Linked DNA regions of Xenopus tropicalis. The protein of the gene in region 2 interacts with the protein of the main gene of each other region in a pairwise test. Links are inferred from orthologs where the notes say so. Each region holds a gene or a part of one and is shown on either strand. Other genes may lie near its edges.

The links.
Region 1: the proteins of rbsn (region 2) and ehd1 interact in binary tests that used the Homo sapiens proteins (3 or more experiments, as listed by UniProt). The link is inferred for Xenopus tropicalis from reciprocal best matches to the Homo sapiens genes RBSN and EHD1.

Annotation. Positions count from the first base shown.
Region 1 is NC_030680.2:32,912,347-32,916,696, reverse strand, and holds the start of ehd1 (EH domain-containing protein 1), read right to left. Parts: upstream 2,845-4,350; 5' UTR 2,770-2,844; coding exon 2,366-2,769; intron 1-2,365. UniProt on the Homo sapiens protein: ATP- and membrane-binding protein that controls membrane reorganization/tubulation upon ATP hydrolysis. In vitro causes vesiculation of endocytic membranes. Acts in early endocytic membrane fusion and membrane trafficking of recycling endosomes.
Region 2 is NC_030680.2:132,265,150-132,268,712, reverse strand, and holds part of rbsn (rabenosyn-5), read right to left. Parts: intron 3,007-3,563; coding exon 2,762-3,006; intron 2,592-2,761; coding exon 2,521-2,591; intron 1,156-2,520; coding exon 1,069-1,155; intron 567-1,068; coding exon 464-566; intron 153-463; coding exon 48-152; intron 1-47. UniProt on the Homo sapiens protein: Rab4/Rab5 effector protein acting in early endocytic membrane fusion and membrane trafficking of recycling endosomes. Required for endosome fusion either homotypically or with clathrin coated vesicles.

The DNA.
Region 1 (4,350 bases), about 99 Mb from region 2:
TTTAGCATGTTATGATCATCCTGTAGCCTCTTGCTGTTCTTAGATTACAGTGACCAGCTCTGACCAGAGCGGCACAACAGCTGGGGAAGTTTAGCCCCCAGGACAGTACTCAGCTGCTGAGGGTGGGGAGGGGGGTTTACACACCCAGAGCTGCCTGCATGATACACTTCAATCTCCCAGCACCCCTGGGTGTAGTTCTACAGCAGTGATCCCCAACCAGTGGTTTGTGAGCAACATGTTGCTCCCAGTGGCCTCAAAAGAGGTGCTTATTTTTTAATTTCTGGCTTGGAGGCAAGTTTTGGTTGCATAAAACTCAATGTAAAGCCAAACAGAGCCTCCAATAGGCTTGCCAGTACACATAGGGGCTATTAAGTAGCCAATTATAGCTCTTATTTGCACCCCCAGGAACTTTTTCCAAGCTTGTGTTGCTCTCCAACAATTTTTCCATTTGAATGAGGCTCATGGGTATAAAAGGTTGGGGATCCCTGTTCTACAGCAATGGAACCAACACAAACCTATGACATGCTGCAGCCATATATTGTGGCTATTAAGGGGAACTTTACCTTCCAGTAGGTTATCCAGCAGAAACTAGAAGCTAGCAAAACGCCCCTGGCACGCCCCTGTCACTGCTCATTATGTTATATATCAGGGATCCCCAACCTTTTATACCGGTGAGCCACATTCAAATGGAAAAAGTTTTGGAGAGCAACACAAGCATGGAAAAAGTTTCTGGGTGTACCAATAAGAACTATAATTGGCTATTTGGTAGCCCCTATGTTGACTGGGAGACCACAGAAGGCTCTCTTTGGCAACTGCACTGGGTTTTTATGCAATCAAAGCTTGCCTCCTAACCAGAAATTCAAAAGTTAGCACCTGCTTTGGGGACACTGGGAGCAACATCAAAAGAGTTGGGGAGCAACATGTTGCTCATAAGCCACTAGTTGGGGATCACTGTTATATATAATGGTAAGTGCCCTGGCTGAGCAGTGAATGGGAAAACCTCAATGCAAGCGGAGTAATACAGAGCGGACAGGGGCGTTTTGACAGCCACTTTTTCCCCCCACAGGGCAGCAGAGGTGCCATTGGCCTAATGTTAGGGAGCCAGACTGTGCCATTGGCCTAATGTTAGGGAGCCAGACTGTGCCCATTGGCCTAATGTTAGGGAGCCAGACTGTGCCCATTGGCCTAATGTTAGGGAGCCAGACTGTGCCCATTGGCCTAATGTTAGGGAGCCAGACTGTGCCCATTGGCCTAATGTTAGGGAGCCAGACTGTGCCCATTGGCCTAATGTTAGGGAGCCAGACTGTGCCCATTGGCCTAATGTTAGGGAGCCAGACTGTGCCCATTGGCCTAATGTTAGGGAGCCAGACTGTGCCCATTGGCCTAATGTTAGTGAGCCAGACTGTGCCCATTGGCCTAATGTTATTGAGCCAGACTGTGCCCATTGGCCTAATGTTATTGAGCCAGACTGTGCCCATTGGCCTAATGTTAGGGAGCCAGACTGTGCCCATTGGCCTAATGTTAGGGAGCCAGACTGTGCCCATTGGCATAATGTTAGGGAGCCAGATTGTGCCCATTGGCCTAATGTTATTGAGCCAGACTGTGCCCATTGGCCTAATGTTAGGGAGCCAGACTGTGCCCATTGGCCTAATGTTAGGGAGCCAGACTGTGCCCATTGGCCTAATGTTAGGGAGCCAGACTGTGCCCATTGGCATAATGTTAGGGAGCCAGACTGTGCCCATTGGCCTAATGTTAGGGAGCCAGACTGTGCCCATTGGCCTAATGTTAGGGAGCCAGACTGTGCCCATTGGCCTAATGTTAGGGAGCCAGACTGTGCCCATTGGCATAATGTTATTGAGCCAGACTGTGCCCATTGGCCTAATGTTAGGGAGCCAGACTGTGCCCATTGGCATAATGTTATTGAGCCAGACTGTGCCCATTGGCCTAATGTTATTGAGCCAGACTGTGCCCATTGGCTTAATGTTATTGAGCCAGACTGTGCCCATTGGCCTAATGTTATTGAGCCAGACTGTGCCCATTGGCCTAATGTTATTGAGCCAGACTGTGCCCATTGGCCTAATGTTATTGAGCCAGACTGTGCCCATTGGCCTAATGTTATTGAGCCAGACTGTGCCCATTGGCCTAATGTTAGGGAGCCAGACTGTGCCCATTGGCCTAATGTTATTGAGCCAGACTGTGCCCATTGGCCTAATGTTATTGAGCCAGACTGTGCCCATTGAGCTCAGGGAGGTGCAAGACTGGCTCTCACTAATGCTTTGTCGCATGCTTCCAAGGGACAATCGCTGCGACCTGTGGGCTGCTTACCCTACAGTGCCCCCCAAGCTGAAGCCTACACACGGGTTACCTATTAAGGAAGGCATTGCCGAAGGCGCTCAGCTTCCTGAAGGGTTTCTTGGGGTCAACCACAAGCGCGTTCCCGGGCATGACCCCCTCCACGGGCCCGTGCATGACGGCGATGAATGAGTCGGTGGTGGGTTCGGGCCCGATCCTCATGCCGGGGAAGTCCTGCTCTATGAGGTGGCGGATGAAGGTGGTCTTGCCCGTACTGTACTGCCCCACCAGCAGCACCATGGGGTTGTTATGGAAGTCGGCATCTTCCAGGGCAGGGGAGTGGAAGTCATGAAAGCGGTAAGTCTCCTCCAGAGGCAGCAACTTGTGTGTGTAAAGCTTCCGGAGACCCTCGGACACCGTCTGGAAAAGCTCCGGTTCTTTCTTCCTCCGAGTATCCTTATTCGACCAGCTGAACATGGCGGCTACTGCTGGGGCAACCCTTGTTTCCTACCTACACGGGATGGGATAACGGAGCCGGGACGAGCTCCTCACAGCTGGCCGAGAGACTGAGCTTGGGACCGGGGGCGCGCACTACTGGGCGTGGCGGGGACGCGCGTCCGCTGCTGGGAGGCGTGCATGAGAGGATGGAGCCGTGCCCGCCGGTGGAGTCACACGGGTCAATTCTCTATCCGGGACTTTGGTCCCGTCTCTCTGGCCCGTAACGGGTTTATAGGGCATGGTATGGCGCCTGTCATTGTCTTCTCCCAAGTAAAAGCGAATTTCTCATGAATTGCTGAGTTCAGCTGAGCTATAAAAGTCTCTGTATTCTGTTTAATACAGAAAGAACGGCGTTACAAAAATATACAAATACATTTTGTGTGGTGAAGTAAAGTCTGCCACTAGCATGAATGGCAGCGTAATAAATGTGCGGATGTAAAATTACAAGCACCTTTACTATTAACAGAATGTTTTTGGTTCCAGTTTATAAACTGGTAATATAATACCTTATGTAACAACAGCGCCACCTGCTGGTCAGTTCTTTCAGCTACACAGTCTGGGAAATATATGTTAAAAAAGAAAACTAAGCTGTTCTGATGTTGCTTTGCTCAGAAAGGAGGTCAGAAGCCTCAGAAGAACTTTCTGAAGTCTTTCCTATGAACTATTAACTGGGAAAGGCTTTTGAAGAGCACTGTTAGTTTTATTTAAAGAAAAAACGCCTCAAAAGGACAAGACTTACGCATTCCGTGCCTTGAGGGGCAACTTGAGCCAATGATTAAGTGCCTTTCAAGCTCGGCATGGAATGTGTAAGGCTTGTCCTTGTGAGATTTTTTTCTTTAAATAAAACTATTTTTTACTGCATTATTTCTGCTATTTCGGTCTGTTTTTGTGCCATCCTTGTGTCAGTAAACCTCCCTTAAGCAGAAAGTCTGGTCCCCTACCTGATTTGTTGAGTTCAGCCAAATATAATATAACTGTATTTTCTCTTTTATGTTTTTCTTTCACATCCTTTAAACTTTGCATTTTTTTCTCCTTTTGCAAAACAAAGTCTTTGAAATACCCTAAACAAAGGAAGGTGGAGTTCGCCATAGTTAGAGTGCGGGAAATTATTCAAATTCTTATGTAAACAGGAAAGTCCGACATAAGTAAAGCTTGTCAGAGTCTTGGCATCGCAGACATACAGAGTCCCTAAGCTCTCTCATTGTATAGTGCTGGCATACATTGCCCAGAAAGAGATCGTACAGGGGTATCAAGTCCTTCTTTCATGCTGTTTCCTATATGGAAAATGTTTTTAGAGAGTATGGTGACTAGAACTTTGAAGTCAGTTTCAGACATCTGTTGTTTTATCTGTAATGCTAATTCTAGCTGGTAGTCATGATCTGCTGCTTCCAGCAATGGATGTAAAGTTGCTATGACTTTCAAACTGATGTTTTAGCCACAGTGAATTTGATGAGTTATAGGTTATATAGGAACATATACCAAGGGGACACTGTTATAAGACAATAAAGAGTAAATTTGGGGCTAGGGGAGAAAGGCAAAGACCTAGGGCTAGGCTGTAGG
Region 2 (3,563 bases):
CAACAGCTAGCAGTTGCACTATGATAGATTACTATAGGATTACTTACCTGTCGCTCTCTCTGCAGTTTCTGCTCATTCTCTTGCCTCCGCTTCTGTTTAAGCTCCTCGTATATTTCTTTAGTTGGCAAAGACATTAAGCCCAGTAATTTTTCCTGAACAGAAAGAGAAATTAACAAAAAGGATGAGTCAAGAGTCCTTCATGTCAAGTGACTCACTGCCTTTACTGGTCAGACCAGTAAAACAGAAAGTGAGAGTCTCATTACTGCTCTTGATGGAGGTTACAATTAACAGGAATTTGACTGTGCATGGTACTGAGTGAGAATCGTGGAACTGAACTTACCATAAGCATTATATTCCCTAATCTATTTGCCAACTACAATTCAATAACAGTGTTGCACCAGCATCTCATATGCAGAGATTCTAAACAAATAAATGTCAAGGAAGTAAATAAACAAATCATTACCTGAACAAACAAGGTGGCCGAATATCTCACCATCTTCTGTAACTGCTGTGTTTTAGGGTGAGGCTTGGGTTCTTCATTCATTCCAAGGGTGAGAATCTTCTTGCTGGCAAACAATACAAATGATTATATGGGCAATATATAGCAAAGGGCTTTTTCTAAAATGGTGGAGGCCAGCAGGATACTTTTGAAGCAAAAACACATGTTTAGTAAGAATAGTACAGATTTCTTCCACCTATCAAATATTGCTATATTAGAGTTATCTGAGCATAAGCACTCACCACTGGGCTGTGCTTTACACCCTGCAAAAATGAAAATCCAGAGTAAGGTGCCATGCACATGGGCAGAAAGTACAGGGATCCCTGTCCCCAGTCCATCCCAACACACCCTACCTAGGGCATCTCAATGACACACAAGCTAACCACCTACCTTTCCTCTATGTAGTGCTGCCAAAGGAATGCATCATTCCAGTGTTTGGCCACCTTAAGGCATATCATTTGATACACACACAGGATGGCACTGGACAGTATTGGAGTTTTCTCTGCCTGCATTTTTCCACATCACATATACAACACATGCTGTTTACAACACAAAATGAGGACTCTCACCTTAATGCATCTATTAACTCGTAGTATTTTTGCAACTCAACCCGCAGGTTATTGGTATGGTCCAAATTGTAGGTTGTCTCCCCAGCACTGCAGATATAAAAACACAAACAAAGATGCATATTATTTCGGCAAGATAATTACCCCCCTGACTACTGCACAAGCAGCAGATCAGACCTAAGGAATCCGTAGGAAAGACAAGTGTGGGTGTTTAAGATACAGAATGGCCTGTTCTTTTGCGCACTGCTGAAAAAAAAATAAGTAAAAGAATGAAATTACCTCCCGCCCACAGGATAACAGAGTTGTTGATTACATCTACACCTACAGCAAACAAGAACTGTGGGATTAAATGCTTTATTATATAATCTTATACCTGCTCTATACACAACTGAGTGTTACGGCACGCTAGAAAGCTCATATACAATGCCCCACACAGTGTGCAAAGTGTAAAAAATAAAAAAGCTGCAATCAGCCATTTTATTTATTTATTTATTTTTTTGCACTTTGCCCACTAAGTGGGGCATTGAGAGCTAAAAACCCCAGGGTGGGGGGGGGGGAGTGCTAGTAAGTGAGCGCTCTTGCACTTTAACTCTTACACTCACTAATGTATATATTGTGAGACTCCACAGCCAGTGGAGACATACTGACAGGGCAAAATGTGCCTGCATTACTGTACAGAAACACTGTTGCAGTAATGTAAAATACAATACAAATATGCAAGGACAACTAGGAGAGATAAATGAACCTGCCGAGAGCAAGATTTTATTGTGCAATTGTTCAAAAAATCTCCCCCAGAGCTAAATGGGAAATAGACATTTAACAAGAGACAGAGGGCTGCAGGTCAGACATTGTAGATTTAAAAAGGTTTATTGAATTCAAGGCATACACGAGACATGCAAAATATGAAAAAACACACAATGAAAAGCAGCAAAATATTAAATAATGGTGGTTAACTGGGCAACTTGTCCTCCAACCAAAATAGTTTTTCTGCCTACTGAAAGAAAATGAAATTTATAAGTACGTTTCCAATATACATTAAATGATTGTAGTCATTCTATTTGTAAATGTAGTTGCAGTAAAAACAGCATCTGTGTGTTCCTTTATGTTTTCTGGTTCTGACTCTTGAAACTACGTAGTCAATTCTCCTCCAGTAAATCGCTTAGCTTCTACTACATGGCTTCAGAAGTCAGAACCCAAAATGCTAAGAATACAAACATCCAGACAGATATAGTTTTCAATAGCAAATACATTTACAAATGACCAAAAACTGACATTTGTCTCATTAATATACACCCGAAAGCTTGATAGAATTAATTTCCATTGTATTAGGCTACAACCAATTTAAAGATTCCCAAAATCAGGCTTTCATTGCAAAAGTATAACATAGGCCAACTGAGAAAAGCAGTCAATACAGTCCATCTCATTGATATATTGACAGTATATTCTCATACTCACTTGATAGACTGAGCCATTTTGATATACTCGGGCGCTTTCTCATCAACCTTCTCCATACAGCTTCGAAGTTTCTGTAAAGTTAAACACAAATAATGAGGCATTTGCTCTGCTCACCATGGATACACAACAGTATATTATGATACAAAAGTATATTATGATAGGTAATATACCAAGAGCAAGTCTGCCTGCACTAGCATTTAGAGTATAATTCCCATCTGACCCACTGGCTCCCATACTGCACCTGGTAGTACTTTACAATCTCAGGAGTATGCTCTTTCTCATCCAGCTGCTGCTCGCGTTTCAGCAACGTGTCCTTGCAGTGGTGGCAGCAACGTATCTTGTCATCGTCCTTCTCCTCCAGCACGGAGCTCACACTGCTGAGGCTACTGATGCTACCCCTGCGGGATGTCTGGGCACTGCTGCTGGGGGACAAGTTGGGGCTGCCATGTGCAGACAGTGAGTGTTTGCTGGCACTGGTCAGCTTGCCTGTAAATAAAAAATTAATTTTTAATACAATATAGAAAGTAATGTTCTGAGACAAATTTCAAATGGTCTTAATTTTTTATTAAATGTTGTTTATGAATTATTTAGCTTTTTATTCAGCCACTTTCCAGTTTGGCATTTTATCAGCTGGTCAATAGGGTCCTAATTACACTAGCAACTAGGCAGTGGTTTGAATCAGAGATTATACATAGGAGAGGGCCTGAATAGAAATAGAAGTAAAAAAAAAGTAACAACAATGAAATTGTAGCCTCCTGGAGCAATAGTTTTTTGGTTGCTAGGGTCAGCGACCCTCATTTGAACGCTGGAAAGACTCAGGAAAAAAAAGGCATATAATATAAAAAGTATTCAAAATAAAAAATTAAGGCCAACTAAAGAATTGCTAGATATTATCCACTAAATATCATACTAAATGTTCATGTAAAGATGAACTTAATTTCCAGAGGTCAGTGAATATAACTAAGGAAATTAGTATAGGAAGGGTAGAGAGCCAGAGTTTAGGACTAATTGAAATCAGTAGGGTAACTGCATGCAACAGGAGT